3 linked regions of the Tamandua tetradactyla genome follow. The protein of the gene in region 3 purifies or fractionates together with the protein of the main gene of each other region. This does not show direct contact. Links are inferred from orthologs where the notes say so. Each region holds a gene or a part of one and is shown on either strand. Other genes may lie near its edges.

What was found.
Region 1: the proteins of ANAPC2 (region 3) and ANAPC11 purify together in Homo sapiens (affinity purification with western blotting; 7 studies listed by BioGRID and IntAct, with this or other methods). This does not show direct contact. The link is inferred for Tamandua tetradactyla from reciprocal best matches to the Homo sapiens genes ANAPC2 and ANAPC11.
Region 2: the proteins of ANAPC2 (region 3) and ANAPC7 fractionate together in Homo sapiens (co-fractionation; 6 studies listed by BioGRID and IntAct, with this or other methods). This does not show direct contact. The link is inferred for Tamandua tetradactyla from reciprocal best matches to the Homo sapiens genes ANAPC2 and ANAPC7.

Annotation. Positions count from the first base shown.
Region 1 is NC_135332.1:74,073,223-74,081,289, reverse strand, and holds the start of ANAPC11 (anaphase-promoting complex subunit 11), read right to left. Parts: upstream 3,062-8,067; 5' UTR 2,927-3,061; intron 2,872-2,926; exon of another isoform or gene 2,681-2,871; intron 2,165-2,680; 5' UTR 2,163-2,164; coding exon 2,054-2,162; intron 1-2,053. Other genes in the region: ALYREF (THO complex subunit 4), read left to right, coding at 3,216-3,452, 3,951-4,082, 5,506-5,653, 6,148-6,211, 6,317-6,494, 6,592-6,606. UniProt on the Homo sapiens protein: Together with the cullin protein ANAPC2, constitutes the catalytic component of the anaphase promoting complex/cyclosome (APC/C), a cell cycle-regulated E3 ubiquitin ligase that controls progression through mitosis and the G1 phase of the cell cycle.
Region 2 is NC_135331.1:11,114,572-11,122,500, forward strand, and holds the start of ANAPC7 (anaphase-promoting complex subunit 7), read right to left. Parts: upstream 3,062-7,929; 5' UTR 3,056-3,061; coding exon 2,850-3,055; intron 1-2,849. UniProt on the Homo sapiens protein: Component of the anaphase promoting complex/cyclosome (APC/C), a cell cycle-regulated E3 ubiquitin ligase that controls progression through mitosis and the G1 phase of the cell cycle.
Region 3 is NC_135328.1:130,759,905-130,767,930, reverse strand, and holds the start of ANAPC2 (anaphase-promoting complex subunit 2), read right to left. Parts: upstream 3,006-8,026; 5' UTR 2,963-3,005; coding exon 2,852-2,962; intron 2,556-2,851; coding exon 1,933-2,555; intron 953-1,932; coding exon 820-952; intron 1-819. Other genes in the region: microtubule nucleation factor SSNA1, read left to right, coding at 3,195-3,246, 3,756-3,955, 4,291-4,404, 4,497-4,604; TPRN (taperin), read right to left, coding at 6,837-6,899, 6,984-7,090, 7,165-7,408. UniProt on the Homo sapiens protein: Together with the RING-H2 protein ANAPC11, constitutes the catalytic component of the anaphase promoting complex/cyclosome (APC/C), a cell cycle-regulated E3 ubiquitin ligase that controls progression through mitosis and the G1 phase of the cell cycle.

The sequences.
Region 1 (8,067 bases), on a different chromosome or scaffold from region 3:
TCCGGGAGGCCCCCTGAAAGGCTTGGGGTGAATGCTGTGGTGCTCGTCCCACACGCTGACCCATCACTCTCTCCCTCCCTGGCAAGATTACAGGGGGCAGGGGACCCTGTACCAGGATCTCACATTTCCTGGCCCCAGGGGGCCTTTCAACCTTCCCAGAAAAGAAGACTTGATGTGGCCTCTTTCCAGTTAGTTTTCCCTGGGACAGAGGGAGCTGCTACCTGGGGAGGAGGTAGGGCCACTCTGTCTACCTATGGGGGGCGGTTCATCTACATGGAAGAGCCGCTTCATCTGAGTAACACAGCCACTTGCCTCGGATACTTGGTGAATAACTGAACACAAGGATGACTCACACAGCACTAGTTTAGCTTGGGCGTCAAAGGAGGTCTTTTATAAACCGGAACACCTCTGGGCAGGACTGTGTACTCCCAAGGCCCTCTGCGGTGGGGGCAAGTCTCCTACCCCTTAGTCACTCTGGGTTTATAACAGGAGCTCGATGCTGGCAAGAGGAATTGCTGCCACTTTTCACATACAGGAGTCCCCTTAGACTTGTCATGGCACAAATTGAGACCCTGTGTCCATCATCCTCCATAGCCAATGGGCCCCATTTGCAAACTACTGGGCCCACGCAAAGGTAGAGCCACTGTAGTTCTCAGAACAGCGCCCTGTCTGGATGTGCAGGGCACAGGAGCAGCCAGCTGGGGTTCAGGATGGGCCTGCAGGCTCTATACAGGTGACTGCCACCACTGTGTTTGGGGCACAGGCTGCCCAGGCCTGCTGGAGCTTGCACCAGTACCAGCACAATCCACACCCTCGGGCACCACCAGCACATTTATGAAAGCTAAGCAGCCTACTGCCTTGGAAGTTCTAAGCTCTTGCCTCTTAAACTTCCAGAATCTTTGCTGTACCCTCTGAAGGGCAATTTAAGAAAGTTTAAATATAGCTAGACCACTTTCAGTTTAGTTGTTAGACGTTTGCTGTGATGTAGACTCAATCATCTCTTGATTGATGTAATCATTTGATGTAAATAAGATGTAGTGATAAGATCTCCCTTCAGCTAGGGCAGATAGGATCAAAGATAGGATAAAGTGATATTTGTACTAAATTCATTCATCTGACTGTCATTTTAAGAAGTAAAGCTCTATGATGTTTCTGGGCTCTTGATCGGCCCCAGAACAGGTTTGGTCACTGGTGGGGCAGTGAGGAGGGACTGCCAGCCCTATACACTCCTTTTTCCTTTCAGGGTCCTTGTCCTCCCTGGCCAAAGCCCTGAGCCTTGTTTCTGCTTGCTGTTCCTTTTGATCTGACTAGCATGTAAATTTGCTGGTGTGAAAATCTGCTCTTGCCCTAAACCTAATCAAATATTTTCTCTTTACAGAATTTAATGGAACAAACCAAAAGACATTACAAAGAAAAATCCAATAAAGTAGATTCTGCAAGCAACATGCCCTGTTTTTAAGTTTAAATGAATTGAAGAATGGTGTGGGGTTGAGAAAGGATTGCTCTACATTTATACTTGAAAATACTTCAGCAAAGATGTTAAAAGACACTTCATCTTATGAGTGATTTTTCTATAAACTTACAACTTCTCTAATAAAAAAAGCCAACAAACCACATACCTACAAATGGCAAGTTTTATAATATAAGTTAAAACTCAATAAATCTGACTTTAAAATAGAAATAAAGGCTATTCATTGTTAATTCCCTGGCGTGGGTGGGAGGGGGAGGGGATAAGGGGGTGTTCCTTATGCTATTTTACCTTTTTTGCTAGTTTGTTTGAAATTTTCAAACTAAAAAGTCTTAGATCTGTTTTTGTCTTGTGTGTCTCATTGCTGAGTTTGATTACAATAAAATGCTGCACTGGCTTTTCTTATAAAACTTTTTTGCCTCGATCTTTATAAAAACATGGGCCCAAACTGCTTGCCTTTTTTTCCTGTCACCTTTTCTTCAGGAAAACAAAATTAAAACCCAGGGATTTTACCCAGGTACTTTCAGGAAACGACAATGTCAGGCAAGTAGGCTCAAACAGCACTGCCAAGAGGGAGGCACTCACAGTCGGGACAGCAGCCGTTGAAGGCCATCCGGCAGATGCCGCAGTTCTCGTCATTGGCCACCCAGAGCCAAGTGGCCACGCCGTTCCAGCACTTGATCTTCACCTTCATGGCTGTGATGGGAAGAGGGTTACCTTGGTGAATCCGGTCTACAGAGCTAGAACACTAAGGCTCCCAGGGCGTGCTTCTCCCAGCCAAGAGGGCCCGCGCTGCAGGGGAGCAGCCACCGGCCAAGGCCAAGGGGAGCGGAGTGCCTGGCTTTGCACCCGGGGTTTCTTAAAGGTTCCTTTAGCCGTGTCTTTAGGGGCCCAGAGGGAAAGAAAGCCCTGAAAAGGGGCCTCAGCTCGCGCTGGCAAGGAGGGCATCAGACTTGGGACCACGGCTTTGGAGAGTTTGGCTTTGCCTCGCGTTTACGGTAACTACGGAGACCTGGACATTCACGAAAGGGCTGCTGCTTTCCTTAACGCCCTGTAAACAGGTCACACGACACTTCCAAAAAGGACACAACTAACAAACAAATGACCGTGGCTAACTTGGGGGATGGAGCCCCAAACCGCGCACGCTGTGAGATTTTTAACTCTCGAAAAGGCACAAACAGACGCATGAGTCTGTACCCCCGACCCCCATACCTGCCCGGGGCAACCGCTAGGCCCTGAAAGACGAATCGCTGGAGACGGTCGGCCGGGCGGTCCCGTGAGAAACGGCGGGGAAACAAGCCGCGGTGCCCGCCGGGCATCCGGCTCAGGACGCGACCGAGAGCGCGGAGAGCTCGGGGGCGTCCCAGGGGCCCCGCCCCCAGCCCGAGGGACGGGCACGTCAGGCCCCGCCCCCAACGGCCCCCGCCCAACCCAGGACGCCCTCGCCCCTTCCCTAACCTAATCCTACGCAACGCGGCCCCGCCCGTCGGCCGTTGTGGCGCCAGCGTCCGCGCGGGAAGGTATAAAAACGACAGCAGCCGCAGCCCAGCACCAGTCGGGCTGAGGTCGCCGAGCTGTGCGCCTCGCTGCGCACGCGCCTCCCCGCCTCGCGCGACTAGCCGCTCGCCGTCAGCCAATCGACAGCGGCTCCGGGGCCGCGACTCCGGAAGTCCCCGCGCGGCGAAGGAAGTGACGCCCCGGCGTGCTGACGCGCGCGCTCGAACCGAGGCCCGATTCCGCGCCCGCCATGGCCGACAAAATGGATATGTCTCTGGACGACATCATTAAGCTGAACCGGAGCCAGCGAGGCGGCCGCGGCGGGGGCCGGGGCCGCGGTCGGGCCGGCTCCCAGGGCGGCCGCGGCGGCGGAGCGCAGGCCGCCGCGCGCGTGAATCGAGGCGGCGGGTCCATCCGGAACCGGCCGGCCATCGCCCGCGGCGCAGCTGGCGGCGGCGGCAGGAACCGGCCGGCGCCCTACAGCAGGGTGAGTGGACGCGAAGGCCACTGGGGTTGCGGGGCGCGGAGTGCGCTGAGGCCCGGCCCGGCAGGCCGCGGGAGCGCCGAGTGGAGAGGGCTGGCCCCGAGGCCTGGCAGCTGGTCCCGAAGCCGGCGGGTGTGGTAGACGCCGGGGAGGTCGCGCGGCCTGGGGTTGGCCCCGGGAGGCTCAGACCTTCTCAGCCTCTTTGTCTCATCCGGGCGCTGCAACCTCATGGCGGCTGGGAGCGGAGGGAACGCTGGGCGCGGCCGCACCGGCGGCGGGAAGTTAGTTGAAGGGAACCTGAGAAGTTGCGCGGAAGCGGCGGGACCGTCGGGGTCTCGGGCCGGGGCAGGGAGGGAAGGGCCAGAGGCCCCTTCTCGGCGATTTCTCCCAGGGCCCGGTTGAGGAAGGGAGCAGGATCTTGGGATGAGCCCTGAGGGCAAGGAAAAGCCCTAGAGTGAGACTCACCGGTCTTTTTCTGTTCTATGGGGTTTTCTCTTTCAGCCAAAACAGCTTCCCGATAAGTGGCAACACGATCTGTTCGACAGCGGCTTTGGAGGAGGTGCCGGCGTGGAGACCGGTGGGAAACTGCTGGTGTCAAATCTGGATTTTGGAGTATCAGACGCTGATATTCAGGTAAGAAACGGAAGCGTCTCCGTGAGTAGTTCACCTTGCACAGAACTAATCGTGTTTGTCATGGGCCCTGAATCCTGTTCCCGCCTTAGGAAAGGAAGCCCTCCCAGCTGCCCCAGAAATAGCCACTGCTTCCGTGTAAGGGGCTGCAGGAGAGACCCTGCCCAGCAGTGGTCAGGAAAAGTTGAAAGTTGAATAAGTGAATCAGTGTTTGTTAGAAGATAAGACCTTAGTGTATTAGTTTTTGCAAAAACGTGTTTTTGGTGTCTGAAAATCCCCTGCAGAGCTTTCTACTTCTGGCTGCTTGCTTTCCTTGTTTTGTTGCTGTTTTAATGATCTATTGGGAGAAGAATCCACACACACACACACACACACACACACACGTTTTAACTAACAAAGTACAGAAGTAGGGTCTTAGTGGTTTTTCAGCTCTGTTGGCCTTGAGGCTTTCTATCAAGTATGACTTGTGGCCCAGTGGTACCACCCCCACCCCGTCCCCTGCCGCTCCCCCCAGGTTTTGTCAGTGGTTTGGTTCTAAGCTCATCTTTGGTTGAAGACTGGTTTTTGTTTTTGTTTTTTGTTTTTTATTGAACCTAAAGGAATTTAAACTTGTTTTTCTGGTAAAGAAACAGTTTCTTGGGGATCAGTCTTGGAGATGGCTGGGTCAGGGTGCTGGGCCTTCCTGGGTTGCATCTCCCAGAGCATGGCCATTGGGCTTTGCCGTGGGAGGACGGAGCAAGGCCGGTGAGCACTCACAGTGTCTCAACACTTTTTTTAAGGTGGTTTCTGGCAGCCACTGGAAACCGCTTTTGGTGACTCCACTTCCCGCTGTGTGCCTGCGGCCGGAGTAGCCCCACACTCTGGGTTCCCTCTCCAACTCCCAGCCTGCCTGAGGTCAGGGCAGTTTCCATGGCAGCGCTTGACTTCAGACTTTGCGGCAGGCTTGAGTAGGAGGAGAGGGAAAGGTGAGCCAGAATCTGCCTTCGGGGGAGGGACTGGGGTTAGGGCTCCCAAATCAAGGGGCCCTTCAAGCTGTCCTGGAATGTTGGGCAGCTTCCCTTGCTGTGTGATCTAGGCCTTCGCTGTTTCTTGGAACAGTTCTTGGGAGAGTTGTAAATTTTCTTTTGTCAAAAAGGAGAGCGGCTTAATTTTGTGCCCTTCACTTGTGGGTTCCTGCAACTTCCTTTCCCTGCATCGAGTTATAGATTTCAAGTCCCTCAGTTGGCAGGAGCCCTCAGACCCAGGTGCTTTGGAAGTTGCTGTCCTACCCACCCCATCCCTTCCCCCAGTTCCCACTGCCCTGCCCCTGTGTACATGGCTGCCTCCCAGGGAAACACCCCCAAAGCAGATTTCACTTCCAGGGACCATCCCTGGGACACTAAAGGGAAACAGCTCTGCTTACGAGTCTGCTCTTTCCAATTCCCAGGAACTCTTTGCTGAATTTGGAACTCTGAAAAAGGCTGCTGTGCACTACGACCGATCTGGCCGGAGTTTAGGAACAGCAGATGTGCACTTTGAACGGAAGGCTGACGCTCTGAAGGCTATGAAACAATACAACGGTGTCCCTTTAGATGGTGAGTTTGGGTTTGGACCAGTATGGCTGCAGGGTTGTACACGAAGGGTAGAGTTTGGGGGTGGCACTTGTCCACGCAGGGATATGGCTGAGCTCTGTGGCCAGGGACGCTTTGCATTTGCCCCTTTGTCTCTTCCATTCTACTGCCTTGCATGCTGTCCCTTACATCTGGACATCCGGAAGTTCTGGGAAGCCTTCTCAGAACTGCCATAGTAAACTTCTGAATGCAGGTTGTAGTCTAGAGACAGAGGTACCATTTTCCTCGTCAGAACCCTCTTCCTCCCACCTAGACTGGGCTGAGAGCAAAGAGGAGGCCTTGGGGGGGTTGTTTTTATTGCCTTTTTGTTCCCCTACCAGTATTTCCAGGTCATTCCCTTGTTGGAAGTGTTTGACACAGCACAAGAACCCTTTGCAGTGCTTGCATGAAGACCAGGTAGGGCACCCTCAGATTAGGCATGACCTCTATCTGGCAACTGTGCTCTTTGTTTGCTGTAGGCCGCCCCATGAACATTCAACTCGTCACATCACAGATTGACACGCAGCGGAGACCTGCACAGAGGTGAGTTCTGGGGCCCATGGAGCAGTGGGGGTAGGCCTATGGCATATGGTGGTGTCCATCCTTGGGGCCTGACCGAGTGTGAGCAACTCCTCTGTTCCTCGTCAGTGTAAACAGAGGCGGAATGACGCGAAGCCGTGGCTCTGGAGGTTTCGGAGGTGTCGGTGGCCCTCGGAGAGGCACCCGCGGAGGCAGCCGGGGAAGAGGCAGAGGAGCTGGCAGGAGTTCAAAACAGCAGCTTTCTGCGGAGGAGTTGGATGCCCAGTTGGATGCTTATAATGCCCGAGTAAGTCCAGGGGTGTGTGTACAGGGAGGGAGCAGCCCAAGCGAGGCTGGGAAATGGGGACTGCTTCCCAGTGACAACCTCTCCTGTTCTGTTTCAGATGGACACCAGCTGAGCAGACCCCAAGTCCGTGCGTGGAGCAGGCCCCGACGGCTCATCCGCATGCCCCGGAGTGGGGGGCGGAGGGCTGTGTGCAGCCATGGATTTGTTTCTTTTATGTTTTAAAGTAGGATTTAAAGCTCATGTAAAGGTTGTTGTTTTTTGTTTGTTTTTTTTTCCTTTTCTTTTTTTTTTAAATTCTGAAACAGACCTGTTTTGTACTGAGTTATTTTTGGGATAAATTTTACTGGTTGCTGTTGTGGAGAAGGTGGCGTTTTCACCTTTGCCATAATAATAAAATGGAAATGTGTGTAGAGCTGGAATGGTTTTGTTGTGCCGTTGTTGGGTGCTCCCCTGGGCCAGAGGCCCGGGGTCTGCCCGGGTGGGGTGGGGTGGAGCTGGGTGGGGAGAGGCAATCCTATCTGACATTTTGGCACCTTGGCCTGGGGGTTAGAGTTTGTGCTCCAGGAGAATTTTATCTTGACACTCTCCTGTTTCTGCTCCTGCTGTTCTTAAGTCCTCTCTAACTCAGTGGGTGGGAGGACCCAGAGCAGTAGCAGTCCTTTACCTGGAGTTACCTGTCATTGCACCTGCACCTAGAGGTGAGGGCATGGGACAGGGGGCAGAGCACCTGTGTTTTCCACAGATTTCAGGGCACTAGGGTGGACCTTTCTTTTTCCTTGTGTTTGTGTCCTCAAACCTGAATTCACCATCCTAACCTCATAATGTCCGATTGTGTTCCCTGCTGTTTTCTGCATTGCTGCGGTGCAAGGTATAAGGGTGTTCCTTCTCTTAATCGTGTTTTTGGTAAGGTGGTCGCTGGGAAGCTCATGGAAGCTGTGGCAGAATCGAAAATCAAATTTGACCAACAGAACAGTGACAGGGCGTCAGGCACCTGTGATGTGTGGTCTCAACAGGCAGGACCCCTTGGCAACCCAGGTGGAGCAGAGCCTGCTGTGGCCCTTGTTGAGCAGGGGGACCCAGAGGGCAGGACATCCTATGGAGGCCACCCAGGGGTCTCTTTCTGGAACTTCACCTCCTCCCTCTGCGGGACATTGCCCAGTGGAGGGCCCAAAGGCAGGTGAAGAGCGGGACACGCAGAAAGCCATTGGCTGTGAGGAAGACCTGAGGTAGAGGGAAGAGAATGCAACTCCTAAGTCATGTTCCTTCTGATAGCTGGGACATCCCCATCTCCTAGGGGGAATCAGAGAACGGAATTGCAAGCAGTCAGCAAGACATGGCTCCCGAAGCTCACCCAGCATGCACTCCGGCTGCCACCTAGTGAGGCTACTGCCACACCCTGCTGCAGGGCGGGCTTCCAGAACCAGTGTGTCATATGGGAAGGAGGGTATTTGAGTAACGGTGAACTTTTGCCCTGAGTTGCCTGCACCCTTGCCGCAGAGCCACCACCTGCCACTCGACCCACGCCATGCAGGCCAGGTGCGGATCCACAGACCAATAATGGGTTGATGAGCAA
Region 2 (7,929 bases), on a different chromosome or scaffold from region 3:
CACCATAACTACATGGAACCTTGAGTAGGGCATGAGATTTTGCTGGTTTGTCCAGAGCGATGCCCCATAAATCTCAGAGTGATTTGAACAGTGAATATAAAAAGTATTTTCAAAGGAATGGTGAGAAAGGGGGAAAATTCAACTTTCCCAAGTTGAATTCTTGATATTCTCACAAGCAGTGTGGACAGCCAAAGCAAAAGGCTGAGCCCCCAATCTTGGGGCTTGTTCATATGAAACTTAACCCCACAAAGGATAGATCAAGCCTACTTAAAATTAGGTCTAACAGTCACCCCCCAAGAGAACCTCTTTTGCTGCTCAGATGTGGCCTCTCTATCCAGCCAACAGAACAAGCAAACTCACCACCCTTCCCCTGTGTACGTGGGACATGACTCCCAGGGGTGTGGACCTTCCCGGCAACGTGGGACAGAAATCCTAGAAGGAGCTGGAACTCAGCATTAAGGGATTGAGAAAACCTTCTTAACCAAAAGAGGAAAGAGTGAAATGAGACAAAATAAACTGTCAATGGCTGAGAGATTCCAAACAGAGTCTAGAGAGGTTATTCTTACGCATTAAACAGATATCACCTTGTTAGTCAAGATGTAATGGAGAGGCTGGAGAGGGAACTGCCTGAAAATGTAGAGCTGTGTTCCAGTAGCCATGTTTCTTGATGATGATTGTATAATGATAGAGCTTTCACAATGTGACTGTGTGATTGTGAAAACCTTGTGCCTGATGCTCCTTTTATCTACCTTGTCAACAGACAAGTAGAACATATGGAATAAAAATAATTAGGGGGAACAAATGTTAAAATAAATTTAGTTTGAAATACTAGTGATGAATGAAAGGGAGGGGTAAGGAGTATGGTATGTATGAATTTTTTTCTGTTGTCTTTTTATTTCTTTTTCTGAACTGATGCAAATATTCTAAGAAATGATCATGATGATGAATGTGTAACTATGTGATGATATTATGAATTACTGACTATATATGTAGAATGGAATGATCATAATAAAAAAATAAAAAATTAATAAAAAAAGAAAGTTACAAAGGAAATTCACGGACCAAAAAGTACAGACCAGATGACTTAACTAACTCTGAGATTCTATATATTTAGTGAAAAATAAAGACCTCGGATAAAGAACAAAATATTACTACATACAAGAATTTCATTTAGATTTTTATATAATGTAACATACATGCCTACATATACATGCAGAGATTATCTCTAGACTAATACATGAGAAACTCAATTGCTGTTGCCTCTAGAGAAGGGAAATGGTTCAGGGACAGACAATTACCTGCAAATCCCTTCTGCACTATTTGTATCTTTTAAAAAAAATTTTTTTAGCAGTATGTGTATTACATATTCAATAAGTTAATTTAAAATGCAAATGATAAAGGTCAGAACCTAAAACACCTCCTGAAACTAGAAAACTATTGGTCCCCAGTATGACACACAGCCTGGGCTATGTAAACTTAGTCTAGCCAGAGGACCAAACTGCTTCAGAGTATCCTGTAACATCTTTAAGAACTTAGAGTATTGACGGAATGTTGCATAAATCCTCAATGGTGAAACCAAATGCCTTGGAAAATCACTGGAAACCAAATGAAAGGCTCCAAAATAAACACAGAAGCCTGACAGAGACCAGGCCTCCTCACTGTCAACTCTAAGCGGCTGGCAAAATTATGAGTCTCACATAGTGAGGTCCAAATTACACTAACGGGAATGAAATGGGGAGCAGTGTCTGCACTGCATGCACTTAGGGCCTTTCCTTGCTGACCTAAACAGCTTCTGGAGCATGCCAACTGCAGGGAATCCACACTGCACAGAAGATTCAGTACAATGCCTTTTAGTCTGGGGTGGGTCAGAACAGATAGACTCTAGAGTCAGAGGGGCCCAAGGTCCAGTCCTGGCTCCTCCACTTTCCAGATGTGTGAAATTCGACAAGGTACTAGGTTGAACCCACTTCTTATGACGTACAATAAACATGTATGCGATCACTGCCCCCCAGGCACCCTGTTGGGTGATGGGGACTATAGCAGTGAACAAAACGGATGAGGCACCTGTCCTCATGGTCCTTGCTGTCTAGCAGGAGAGGCAGATGCAAATGAAATAAATAACTTCATTAGGCGGTAAAAGCCATGCAGAAAATAAAACAGGGCAATGAGATACAGCAGAGGTTACGCTGGTGGTCAGAGAAAGACTCTCTGGACCTTTGGTTCTTCCTTACTGAGATTCCACAAAAGGAAGCTCGGAAAACCCGGAAAGGGCCAGGCTATGGCATCTCGTGCAAGTCAAAGAGGCGCCACGCCCACCCACCCAGGGAGTGTTCCGTATTCGGGGGCATGCCGAGGCGACAAAGTGGACCCTCCAGATACACCCGAGGGAATACATCCATCTTACTTGGGAGCGAGTGTATACAATCCGGGAGGCTGGGCCAATCTGAGCTGCGGCGAGAGAGGGAAAACATTTTCTGTGAAGGAGCCGGGAGAGGGGGATTCAATCCAGCGACGCGACAGCCGCTCCGCTCAGCGCCAGGTGCCTTGGAAAACTCCGGCGCCCAAGGTCTGGGGCGCCGGACCCTCAAGAGGTTCTCAGCACCTCCTGCCTCCCATCCTCCGAGCCGCCGCCGCTCGCAACATCCCAAAGCCGGGCGCAACGCAGGCGCCTAGTAAACAGCTCGCGCCCCGCAGCCGGCTCCGTGCGACGAGGCCCTCGCTGACCCTGCACCCTCGATCGGGGCCCGCGGTCCCCATCCGTCCCGCCCGACCCCAGACCCCCGCAGCCCCGGCTCCCAAACCCGCGCCGCTTTCTCCTCAGCCCCAGACCACTCCCCGCCTCGACTCACGGGTTGTTGTTACTCATTGTAAGTAGCAAGCTGCTGAGGAGCCGCACGTTGGAGTGCAGTCCCGCGGCTGCCATGTCCCGGACGTGGTCTATCACGTTCATCCTGGCACACAGAGCCGCCGCTAACGGCGGCAGCGGCGGCGGCACCAGAGGCCGGTAGGAGCGCCTCAGGGAAGGCGCCAAAATGGCAGCCCCGCCGGGGTCCATCGGGTCCACCGGCGGCTCCGCCCCCAAGCGCGCGGGCGCCCAGCGCGGTGCCTGCGTAAAAATCAGAGCGCCCTCCTTACCCCGCCTACCCGGCGTGGTAGAATGACACGGGTTCTTTATTTTTTGAGCAATAATAACATCCGCATGCTAAACAGCAGGTTTTATTGACGGCTTAAAATGGGTTGGGTTGGACAAAAGGCACCTCAGTAGGAATCTAACCGAGATATTAAGATTTAACAAAAAATGATGACTGAATCGTTATACAGACGCCTTTTTCTTACCTTCTGGTATGTTGTAGAATAGTCAGTTACTGAAATCCACTAAATTTCGAACTGTAAAAACCTCTTGACTGGCCCTGCTGTAACCCCTTACCCTGTTTTACAAATTTAGACACTTATCACAAAGACAACCCCCTGATGTTAAGGAAGAAACTTGAGGCAGCCCTGAACTAACTGCGGGGTTCATACTTGTTATGGTAATGGTTAGTCTAGCTTAGGTCCAGCCTGGTTCCACTCCTTTACATTTGTAAATCGTAATAGTAACTCCACCTCCCCTTGGGTGAATCCATCAAAACACTGTTTGACTCCTTGGAAGGGGAGAGAGAGTCTGGGCCCACGGGCCATATCTGTTCTCCTGGCTTCGCTTTGCAGTAAACTCTTTCTCCCTTTGAAACCCAGTGTCATAGATCGGCTGTGAGGCACCTCGGGCAGAGATCCCCGGGTTTGATTGGTATCAGAAGCAGCTCAAGTGAAATCAGATGAGTCTAAGAGGAATTTGTGCCTCTCAGTAACGAATAAAACGAGGTGGACTCTTATAAATAAAAATAAACATAGTAGGGTGTGACACAATTCCCAACAGCTGTCATTAAATATTTTAACCAAGAGCCAGGGCAGTCCTAACTGCATTCCCCATCGGCCTGCCTAGCAGGGTGAAGGCACCACACCCCACCTCCTCCAAAGTGTTTTGTGTTCTTGCTTTGCCTGCACATTAGCTGACTGGGGTGGGAAGGGGCATAGCTTACCCTGTGAAATGATTGGCGAGCCAGCATTAATAAAGGCTAGGTCCAAGAATGAGCTGGTATCCTTAATCAGCATTTGTCCAACACAGTCAGTATTTTACGAAAGATTTACACCACTTTTTGCATTGGATGTTCACAAATCAATCAATCTATCAGGTTGAACTCGCCATTACCTTTTTACAGGTAAGGAGGCTGTCTACTTAAATTTTGTGCCTGGGTTGTTAAATGGCTTTTTTTTTTTCACATGGGCAGGCACTGGGAAATGAACCCAGGTCTTTGGCATGGCACATGAGAACTCTGCCATCATGGGCCACCCGTTAAATGGCTGTTTAAGTCAGGTGTTCTGACTCCAAATTCCTTCATTATACAGTGACTAAATATATTGGGTCACAAATTCAAATGTGTACAAGAACCAGGGAAGCAATTAAATGTCCCATAACTATAACACTGTGTGCTATCATTTAAATAAAGTTCAAAAATACACAAGACAATATTATATATTATATATGGATATGCACACCTTTAAAAAATCATAAAGAAATTCATGGAAATGATAAACATCAATCAGGATAGAGATTACCTATAGGAAAAGTGGGTGGGAATGAGGTGAGGAAAGTATGTATGGGAGCTTCAACTGTGGCAAAACACTTAGGACTGATAAAGTTAAGTAGCAGACATACAGGTATTCTTTAGGGGGATGTGGGCACCAGCCTGCCTGAGTTCAAATCCCATCTTTGTCACTTAGTATCCTTTTTTTAAAAAAAAAAAAGGTTTAAAAAAATTGTGGTAATATACACAATTGTGGCCATATAATAATATAACAATCATTTTAAACATTTTAAATGGACAATTCTTTGACAACAGTTTGTAAGTTCCACCACTATCTGTCTCCAGACTATTTTGGTCATCCCAGACAAAAACTCCTTCTCATTTAGCAATAACTCCCCATCCTCCATCACCACCACACAAGTAACCACTGCCTTGCTTTCTGTCTCTATGAATTTAAATATTGTAAGAATTTCATATCAGAGAAATCATGCTAGATTTGCCCGTCTGTGTCTGGCTTATTTCGCTCAACATGTCTTCAAGGTTCATCCATGTTATGTAGTATGCATCAGCACTTCATTTATACTAATGACAGAAAAAGATTCCACTGTATGGATATGCCACATTTTGTTTATCCATTCATCTGCTGATGGACATTTAGGTTTGTTCCACATTTTGGCCATTGTGAATAACACCATGATAAACATTGATGTACAATTCTCGCTTCAAGTCCATGATTTCAGTTCTTTAGAGTAAGTACCTAGCAGTGGAATTGCTGGGAGTTTTAAGTTTTCTTGGCTTCTTAAGCAAATACCATGCGATGGGTTGGCTTAAGCAATAGGAATTTATTAGCTCATGGTTTTGAGACTAGGAAAAAGCCCAAATCAAGGCATAGTGAAGGTGAAGCTTTCTCCCTGGAGATTATGGGGTTCTGAGCTTGGCTGCTGCCAAGTGATTCTTGGTCCTGGACTCCTCTGCCACATGGCAGTGCACATGGTGGCCTCTCCTGGCCTCTCCCTTCTCTTCTGGGTTACACTGACCTTCAGCTTCTTGCCTCCAGTGGCTTATTCTCTAACTGTTTGAATTTCACTGTCCTTATAAAGGGCTCTAGTGATAGGATTAAGATCCATCCAGATTGAGTTGGGCTATACCTTAACTGAAGTGACCTCATCAAAGGGTCCTACTGAGAGAGAGAAAGTTATGAAAACTGTGAGTAACTCAGGCTGCCATGGCTTCTGGTGCCCAGCCCACACAGTTTAAGCCAGGAGCATTGAGTCAGCCTGATTCCTACCTAGTAGGCTGCTGCAGAATAGGATGGCTGCAGAAGTCCTCTTCCCAAACAACAAAAGGGGACATGGCTCAGTACTGATGCAGCTATTGCCTCATGAATTTAGACAGCTGGGTCCCATTGCTTTAGTCCATCCCAAACAGGTGATGCTGTGCCATTGTTTTGACTAGTGTCAGAGGTGGAATCAAGAGGTCCCAAAATACCTTGTTTTCCTAGGGTTGCAGGAATAGTTGCTGGAAAGAGTCATCTGCTGGGCAGGCCAGTAAAGCACAACTTTGGAGAGCTGAATAAAGAGCTTTTTTGGCATCATTCCTGAGCCATTACCCAGGGAACTGTGGAACTGGAGTGGGTCCCTAGTATGGGTCCCTGACCCTGTATGGGCTGTGAAATACTGACAAAATAACTGGCAAAGAATTACCTTAACACTAACCCAGTCAACAACAAATTCTTAGCCAAGAAAGAGAAACCAACCTTCAGAATAATCTTATCAACATAATCAGATGCCCAGATATCAGCAAGAAATTACAGGCCATACCAAGAAACAGAAAGAGTTGGCCTAGGCAAAGGAACACATTTTAAAAGTCAGAGGAGATATATAATTTGGAACAACTAATCAAAGACGTTAAAAGAAACCTCTTAAATTAATTCAAGGAGATGAAGAAAATATGGCTAAAGAGAAAAAGGATATTAAGAAGACACTGGGTGAGCATAAAGAAGTACTTGAAAGTACCAAAAGAAACATAATAGAAATTATGGGAATGAGAGGTGCAATAGATGGGATTAAAACTTCACTAGAGGCATATGAGAACAGATTTGAACAGGCAGAAGAAGGGATCAGCAAGCTAAAAGACAGGACATTCAAAATCCAACAAAAGAACAAATAAAGGAAAGAACAGGAAAATTTGAGTAGGGATTATCAATGAATTGAAAAACAGTGCAAAATGCAAAAATATATGCCTCTCGGTTATCCAAGAAGAATGGAAAGGAGAAGGAACAGAAAGAACATTTGAGGAAATAATGGCCAAAAACTTCCCAATTTCTATGAAAGACATAAATCTACATATCCAAGAAGAGCAACATATTCCAAACAATAATCCAAACAGAGATACCCCATGACACATACTAATCAAACTGTCCATTGCCAAAGAGAGAATTCAGAAAGCAACAAGAGAAAAGCGATTCATCACATAAAAGGAATGCTCGATAAGACCAGGTTCTGATTTCTCATCAGAAACTATGGTGATGAGAAAGCAGCAGCATGATACGTTAAGATACTGAAAGAAAAAAAACGCAATTAAGGATTCTTTATCCAGCAAAACTGTCCTTGAGGGAGAGTTTAAAATATTCACAGATAAAAACAAACTGAGAGAGTTTGTAAACAAGAGACCTGCACTACAAAAAATACTAAAGGGAGTTCTTCAGGCTGAAAAGAAAAGATAGGAGAGAGACATTTTGAGGAAAGCATAGAAAGAAAGATTATCAGTAAGAGTAACTAAAACAGTAACTAATGAATATAGATGCAAAAATCTTCAACAAAATTCTAGCAAATCAAATCCAGCAACATATTAAAAGAATTATACATCATGACCAAGTAGGATTCATCCCAGGTATGCAAGGATGGTTCAACATAAGAAAATCAATTAATGTAATACACCGTATCAACAAATCAAGGCAGAAAAATCACATGATCATCTCAATTGATGCAGAGAAGGCATTTGACAAAATTCAACATCCTTTCCTGTTGAAAACACTTCAAAGCATAGGAATACAAGGGAATTTCCTTAAAATAATAGAGGGAATATATGAAAAACCCACAGCTAATATCGTCCTCAATGGGGAAAACTGAAAACTTTCCCCCTAAGATCAGGACCAAGACAAGGATGTCCGCTATCACCACTGTTATTCAACATTGTGTTGGAAGTTCTTGCCAGAGCAATTAGACAAGAAAAAGAAATACAAGGCATCAAAATTGGAAAGGAAGAAGTAAAACTCTCACTGTTTGCAGATGATATGATACTATAT
Region 3 (8,026 bases):
GCAGTGACCCTAATGCAGGGTACATGAATGACAGACACATGGGTTGTGTGGGAGGCATATCCCCCTCCATGTGAACACAGCCACACACATGGGATTAGACATGGGACCAGTACATGACACAGCATGATGCAAACCACCAGTGTACATGTTCACTGGCATGAGGACATGGCCCACAGACCATCCCATGCACAAGGCTGCCACCTCCTAGGCCATGTTCTCTCCACCTGGGAACAGTGCGCTCATTCTGCTGGCTGCTGGTGCTCATGCCCACTCTAGGCTGGAGCTCTGGAGACAACACTTTTAACACTGTGTGCCACAGGGACCTTGGGAACGGCGAGAAGCAAACAGGTCCACACACTAGGAGCCCAGCTCCTCTGTGGACTGAGGGCGCCCTGGGGCAAGCTGCAGGCCTACGAGCAGACAGCGGACACCAAGGCTCTGCCTCCCTCAGCAAAGGGTGACCTTGCCACCACGCCATTCTGCCCCAGACCCCGCCCCCGCAGTGACTCTGCTCTCCTTCCCTGCCCTGCAAGGAACGCTCAGCCCATGGAGGCATGCAGGCTGGTCGTAGGGGCCTTGTCAGGGATGGAAGTGGAGCCCACAAAGAGGAGGCAGCAAGGTCAAGAAGCAAGTGGATTCCCCACTCCTGCCCTTGGCACTGCCCCTGCCATGCAGCTCTGCGTAGACCTTGGACACTGTCACCAGAACAGACCCAGAAGATCTGGCCTCTACCTGGCAAGAGGGATGGGTTTCAGTGGCCAATGAAGTGCTTTCTGGCAGGGCCAGTCCTGGTGGAGGCACGGACAATGGGCACCTCACCTTGTGAAACTCCCGCAGGAATGAGCGCTCGTACTCGCCCCGGCAGCGATCCTCCATCCTTTCCCGTGTCACCTGATGCAGAGTGCTGGTCACTGCCTCCGCACTGACCCGTTCCAACAAACTGAGCCTGTGTCTGGAAGGCAGAGTAGTGGGTATACTTGGCGCATGTCTGGCCCGGGAACCCAGGACGGCCCCGCATGTGGAGCACAGTGCACACCTGCCACCCATGCAGGGAGAGCTCCCACTGCCGCCTCAAAGGGCAGTTGTACCAAGGGCTTCAAGGAAAAGCTGCTGGGAAGGCAGAACCCTGGGAAGCAGCTGCACACCCCACCCAGACAGCATCCTCTATCCAGCAGCAGTAAGTGTGGCTCCTGGGGCCAAGCTTCATTTACTAGGAGTGCCTCTGGAACAGCAGCCAACAGTACCCTGCCAGGTGAACCTAAGTACTTTTCAGTGCAGACCCTGATCTAAGTGACAGGTGGCCCAAAGGGAAGATGAGAAAGAGCATTTACACCCTTCAGGGCCTCCTCCCTTGGTCCAGCTGAGATGCTATCTCCCAAACGGTTGCAGTGCTGCCACTTCACTCAACGTGACAATATCACCACAGGCAGGCCGGGGAGACCGAGACAGTTGCTAGAGGGCTCATGTAATAGGATCTGGCTCTAACAAAAAAAAAAGTACTCTTCTCTCAAAGTACAGGGAAAGAAGTCCGCTTGCCTGTCATGCTGGTCCAATCTCCCCACAAAAGGAAATAGCCAGTCTGCTGTTCACAGCCACTGCAGTAAAAACTAGGTACTCCCATGAATACAAACACTGTTCCTCCTTTACAGAGCTTACAACTGGCCAAGGAGAATTCTGGGCAACGCAGGAAGTTTGGGCTCCTGCAGATAAGAGCCATGTGGGGTGGTAGTGGAGAAGACATCCGGTATTGGGTTGAGTGTGAGCAGTGTGAAAGACACACCTCTGGGTCCAGAAGAAAAGGTGTATCTTACTGCCCAGAGATGCCAGGAAAGCAGGTAGAGCCCTCAATCAGCTCTCTGCAGAGACCTATCAAAGAAATAATGTGGACTCAGGAGGACCGGGGGAGGATACAGCCATCCCAGGGGTACTCACAGGACTTGGCTGAGCTGCTGGAACTGCTCTAGAGCCTGGCGGCACCAGCACTGCTGCTTATCACTGCCGCACCCAGCACACAGCGGGCTCTGCAGAAGCCGGTAGTATCGGCGGCGGGCATAGCGGCTGTCCAACTCCCCCTCCAGTTCCGGGTCTGTGCCTCCTTCCCCCTTCCTTTTACTCTGCATATAGACTCGCAGGTAGCGCCCATAGAGGCGCTGAATCATATCCTGAAAGGTTCTAGGAGTGGAAAAAAAGAGGACACCCCGCACCATGGTGTGGACCTTTTCCCGTAGCCCCTGAGCACCAGTGCCCATCAGCAGACCCAGGCGAGTCCATTTCTCCAGGAGTTCGAGGCTCCTTAGGTAGGGGTGCAGGCGGCTCTCCAGCAGGCCGAAAGCGTCAAGAAGCAGCAAAAGGCACTGGGGCTCGTCGGCAGAGTTCTCGCGTTGGGAGACGGCATTCCAGAACTCCGGAGAGATGTTGGCCTGCAGGTCGTTCTGCAGCACTTCTACGAACCACTCCTCCAGAACCGAGTGCAAACCGTGGCCCCTTAGCACCTCCACCGCCGCCCGGAGCTCCTCTTCCTTCGGCGGGACCGCACCGCTGGTCCGGGAGGACGCCTAAAGTGCAGAAAACCGCGAAAAGAGGAACAAGGCGAAAAGCGGGGAAGGGCGGCAGCGGCAGGGGAGAAGCGGGGAAGGGAGCGGAGCGGGGAAAGGCTGTGGAAACCCCGCCGCCCCTTGTCGGCAGCGCACGGATGTCCGGCAGTCGCCAGGCATGGGCTGCCAAGGGCGCCGAACGCGGCAGAACTGTGGGGGAAGGAGGGAGGACGGCGGTGGGCGAGGCTGGAAGCCCTAGAGAGCGACAGGTTCCCAGGAACCCCAGGTGGGCCCGTGAGTGTGTTCCCGAGCCTCACCAAGCCCAGCGCCGCCGGTGGCACTAGCCCGACGCTCATGGTGTCCCAGGCCACCAACAGCTCCGGTCCAGGCCCGGGTTCGCAGGCCGTCTCCTCCCCTGTCGCAGCCATCTGCGTCCACCGGCTCCAGGTCGGCCCTGCGCGGCGCGCGGCGATGACGCTCGGGAGGGGGCGCGCGGCGATGACGCTCGGGAGGGGGCGCGCGGCGATGACGCTCGGACAGGCGCGGCGCGCGGCGATGACGCTCGGGAGGGGGTGCGACGTCCGTCACACTGGCGGGCGCCGGCCTTGGCGGCGGTAGCGGCAGTTGACTTGGCGGGGAATCGGGCGGCGTGCGACGACCATGACCCAGCAGGGAGCGGCGCTGCAGAACTACAACAACGAGCTGGTCAAGTGTGAGCGCCCGTCCTGCGGCCCCGCCCGCCTGGGTGTCCCGCCGGTGCCGGGCGGGGGAGGCGAGGGCCCTCGTGGGTGGGGTGCGTGGCGGCTTTAGCTTTGGGCGAGCCCCCGGTATCCTCCGTCCTGGGTGTCTGGCCGGTGGAGCGGGCCTGGGCCGGGGCTGACGCGGGGGCCTTCTTAGATCAGAGTCGCCGTTGGATTTAAGCTGATGAACGCGGTTGGGACCGGTGGGCCTGTTTAGTGAGTAAAATAGAGGAGTGCCTGGAGCGCTTACTGGCTCCTAGGCACGCCGTCCACAGCTCTTTGTGCAGTGACTTGTTTAACCCCGAAACCCTGCTAGGAAGTTCCTTGGACCTTACTTGGAGGGACGATGATGCCGCCAGGCCTCACTTTAGACTAGCCTTCCACCCACCACAATTTGGAAGGATGGGCTCTCGAGTTTGGGGGATCGAGTGACTTCCTACCCTGAGCCCCCACCAGTGCCTCCTTCCCACCCCTGCTCTAGGCATCGAGGAGCTGTGCCAGAAACGGGAAGAGTTGTGCCGGCAGATCCAGCAGGAGGAGGAGGAGAAGCAGCGGCTGCAGAATGAGGTGAGGCAGCTGACTGAGAAACTAGCCCGGGTCAACGAGAACCTGGCCCGCAAGATTGCCTCTCGCAACGAGTTTGACCGGACCATCGCAGAGACAGAGGCTGCCTATCTCAAGGTGGGGCTCCGGGGGGAGGGGGGGGACCCAGGGGGCTGCAGGCTGGGCTGAGGGCTGATACTGGCAAGCCTTGGACGTTCTGGAGAAGTGTGGCTTGGGGTTCCCACCAGCAGCAGCTTCAGTTCCTGTCGCTTGGACTCTGGGGCAGAGCATCAGGAGCACACAGCTATGGGCAGGGAGCCTCTGGGACTGGGGCACCTGGACCAGTATGGAGCCGCAGTGTTGTGGCCCTGTTCTTGGCTCCATACTTATTACTCAGTCCGTTTTGTTCAGTGCAAGGGACAGAACTTCCAGAGTACAGCTGCAGTCAAAACTAAGTCTGCCTGGCTCTGCAGGCTGGGGAAGAACAAGCTTTGGGCCGGACACAGGACGTGCCTGGCCCTCAGGAGCTTTATCCCGGTGGCTCTGCCTGCCCCCCTGCCAGCGCGCGTCCCCTGCAGCACCTCTGGGTTGGTATGCTGCTTGCCGTGAGTGTGAGGTGGGCTGCGGAACCTTCCTACTCTGAGGAGCAGTGACAAACCTTTTGTTCTTCTGGCCTCAGATCCTGGAGAGCTCACAGACTCTGCTTAGCATCCTGAAGAGAGAAGCTGGGAATCTGACCAAGGCCACAGCATCAGACCAGAAGAGCAGTGGAGGCAAGGATAGTTGATGAGGCCACTGGTGGCCTGCCTCCCGCCCCACGCCGACATGGCCCCCAGGAGATCTGTTCACAAAGTGTCTGCCCTTGGCAGCAGTAACTGCCGCCCTCCATTGCCCTGGATGGAAAGAATGCCCACGAGCTGCCCATGCAGATGGGGAGGGCCTGGCTTAAGCTCATGGCGAGCTGCAGGGAGGGCTCCAGGTGGCTCTGCATGGGGCCCTCTCTGAGGCCTTCACCTTCTTGAACTGCTGAGGAGCCCAGGGTCTAGTCCCAGAGCCCCAGGAGTCTTCCCCTTGCCCTCCTCAGCCAACAGAGGCCCCAACCAGGCCAGTGTGGGAGGGTGCCAGGGCTTCAGAACCCAGATTTTAGAGCTCAGACCTTATGCCCAGCAACTGTGAATAAAGGTTTTCTTTGCAAAGTTGGGTATCAGCCTACTGTTCATGTCCTGGGTTGTGTGTAGGTTTTACCAAGAGGAGAGCCTGGAGTGGCTTTCCCATCATAGGATCCTCTCACCTCAGGGGTGCAGACCAGACCCACTTTTGCCCACCCTGCCCAGATCAGCCCCAGTCCCTGCTGCCCCATGTAGGGCCACATGTCCTCCCCCTCAACCCTAGCACACTGGAGTAGTTCTGTGAGGTCTCTGATTACTGCCCAGTGCTTTTTTTCTTTTTTAGCACGGGTAGGCACTGGCAATCAAACCCAAGTCTCTAGCATGGCAGGTGAGAATTCTGCCTGCTGAGCCACTGTGGCTCACCCTGCCCAGTGCTTTTAGACCTGGTATCTATAGCGAGACTTTGCAACTTGTTTGAAGTTGTAACGGCCAAACAATTGCACGTCAGCCCCTAACCAGGCACAGGTGCCTCTGGACCCTATACTCAAGCTTCTGCCAGAGTCTGACATCATCCCCCATCACCACATACTGGGTGCCACCCACTTTTCTTCCATGTGAAGGGACCTGGCCTCTAGTATGAGGCTCCTCCATGCCCCCATGTAGTCGTGTAACAGCCTCATGAGGCTGCAGCAACCAAGGGCCTGGGGGACTGGGCAGATTTGGAAGTGTATGTTGACCAAAAAGGTCGCAAGAAAGCTGGCCCCACTGATTCTGAGAACATGGCAAAACCATCTCTCCTTCCCAAGCCTGGACTGATGACCTTTCTCCTGGGTTTGACTCCTGAAAAGGCATGAACATTCATACCCAAAGCCTGAGCAGGATTTGTCTATGGATTTGTAAATGGCTGCAACTCAGCAGGCACATGCACAGCTGAGAGGATGTTTAAGGGGCCACCAGCCCAGCAAAGCTCCCCATCTAGAGCAGGCAGCCCTGGCTCCCCCCAGCACCTGTCAGAATCCACTGAGTTTGCCTGCCTGCCTGCTTCACCCCCCCAAGCCCAGGTGAGAGGAGATTCCTGAGGCCCTAGCATGCTCTTGCCCTCTGCAGCACCCACTCAGCCTTGTCTTGGTCCTCAGGTCCTCCCCAGCTCTTTGCTCTGAACCCATGAGGGAGCTGTTCTTATGCATCCCATCCAGCACCCACCACATGCATCTGAGGTCTCAGCCCCATCACAGAATTCCAGAGCTCAGGTCTTAGCCAGCCCTGGGAGAGGCTGCCGGATGGGAGTGGGCTGCTTCCCCAAAGGGCCTCCAGGGCCTCTGACCCCCAGAGTAGCACACAGGACAGGTGCCCACCCCCACCCCACCCCAGGCAAAGGCGTGAGGGAGGGGAGACCTGGGTTTGGGGATAGGGGTGAGGGTCTGGGCACGTAGACTCCTTGCTGTTCTCTGGCCTCTTCCTCCAGCAACAGCACTTCAAAGATCCCAGCCCTGCCCTCTACCACTCCCCCGCCACGTCCCGCAGCTTTTAGGCCAGGCAGCAGACCATCCAGAGAAGAGAGGCAGCCTTGTCCAGTGCTGTTTATTGGGTCCATTCGTCAGACAGAACAGACTCGGCTAGGGGAGGTGGGCAGTTGGTGGGGGCGGGGAGCCCGGGCTTAGTAGGCTCCTGCCTTGTTCCAAACAGGGCCACTGTCCTGCAGGACTCCTGGCCCTCCCCCTTGGGCAGTGCCCACTCTGCTGTACTTTGGAGCCCACCCACAGAGAATGACACCCAGTCAGGCCCTGTCTTTCCGTCCTGGCATGTCCTGCAGCCCAGAACGGGAGGTGGGGTATTGTGGGGCAGTGAGGCGTGGCCTGGCCCATGGGGCACCTCAGGGGCTTGGCCTGCCCGTCTTGGCTGTGCAGATGTCAGAAGTACAGGGCTGGCTCGCTGCGGAAGTCCGAGAGGTCACTCTGACTGGCGGGTGTGAGCTGCCAAAGAGATGGACAAGTGGGTGTCCTGGGACTCATCCAGGCCCCAGAAACACCCTCGCTGCCTGACGGCCCCCTACTCACCATGATCTCCTTTGGGAGCGGCTCCCCTTCACTCAGAGCTGGCTCTGGCATCTGCTCAGGCCACTTGCTGAAGGCCACGGAATGCTTTGGAGTGTAGCTGGACAGGCCTGTGGGGAGGCCACTTGTGTGGACATGCAGCCCAGGCACACGGCCCTGGGCAGGGCCCTCGGGGGGCACTCACCTGAGCTGCTGTCGGGCAGCCAAGCGCCCTCGGGGCCCACGCTGTTCACGAACTTGGCCCGGGGCAGAAAGAGCCCAAAGGGCCTCTCCGCAGCCCCCTCGGAGCATGGCTCCTCCTGTTCGTCCTCCTCCTCTTCCTGCTGCCCCTCCCCGTCCCTGTCTGCCTCTTCCTCCTGCACCAGGGAGCTCTCAGAAGGATACTCAAACGTGGTCTGGAGGCTCTTGTCATTGAAGGAAATCTTCATCTGGGGGCAGAGAGCTCACGTCAGCATGGCCCGCATCCAGACCTGGGGCTCCTCCTGCCCACAAAGGCCTGGGGCCGATGGAGTCCCATGCAGGGGCTCTCAGGCAGGAGGCTGACCCAGTGACAACAGCCCCTCCGGGCAGGCTCAGGACATGCGGCAAGTGGCCTAACCAGGGCCTCCCCTTTGGGCTCCTCAGGAGACCCACCCCTCCCAGGGGCCAGGCTCCAGCCAGGACCCAGCGTCCAGAGCCTCCCTGTCCCCACTCCCCCCACCGGCTGGGATACCAGAGGCCGTAGGCAGCCCCCAGGTCAGAGTGCCCACAAGTCTACGGCCACGCCTAGGAACTTGCAGACCCCAAGCCAGGAGCTCCCACATCCCCCTTCCTGGGGGTTCACAGCCACTAGCCGGCCCGGCCCTGCCCTGCCACTGTCACCAGGGTCAGGATGGTAGCTGGCTGGCCCTGGGAATACTGCTCTGATCTCTGGGGCACGGCCCCTCCCAGTCAAGCAGCTCCATGTCAGGAGCAAGGTCAACGGGGGCTGTACCTTCCTCGAGGCACCCTCCTGGCTCCTGGCACCCCTCCCTTGGCTCCCAGCACCTCCCCACAGATCCCAGCGC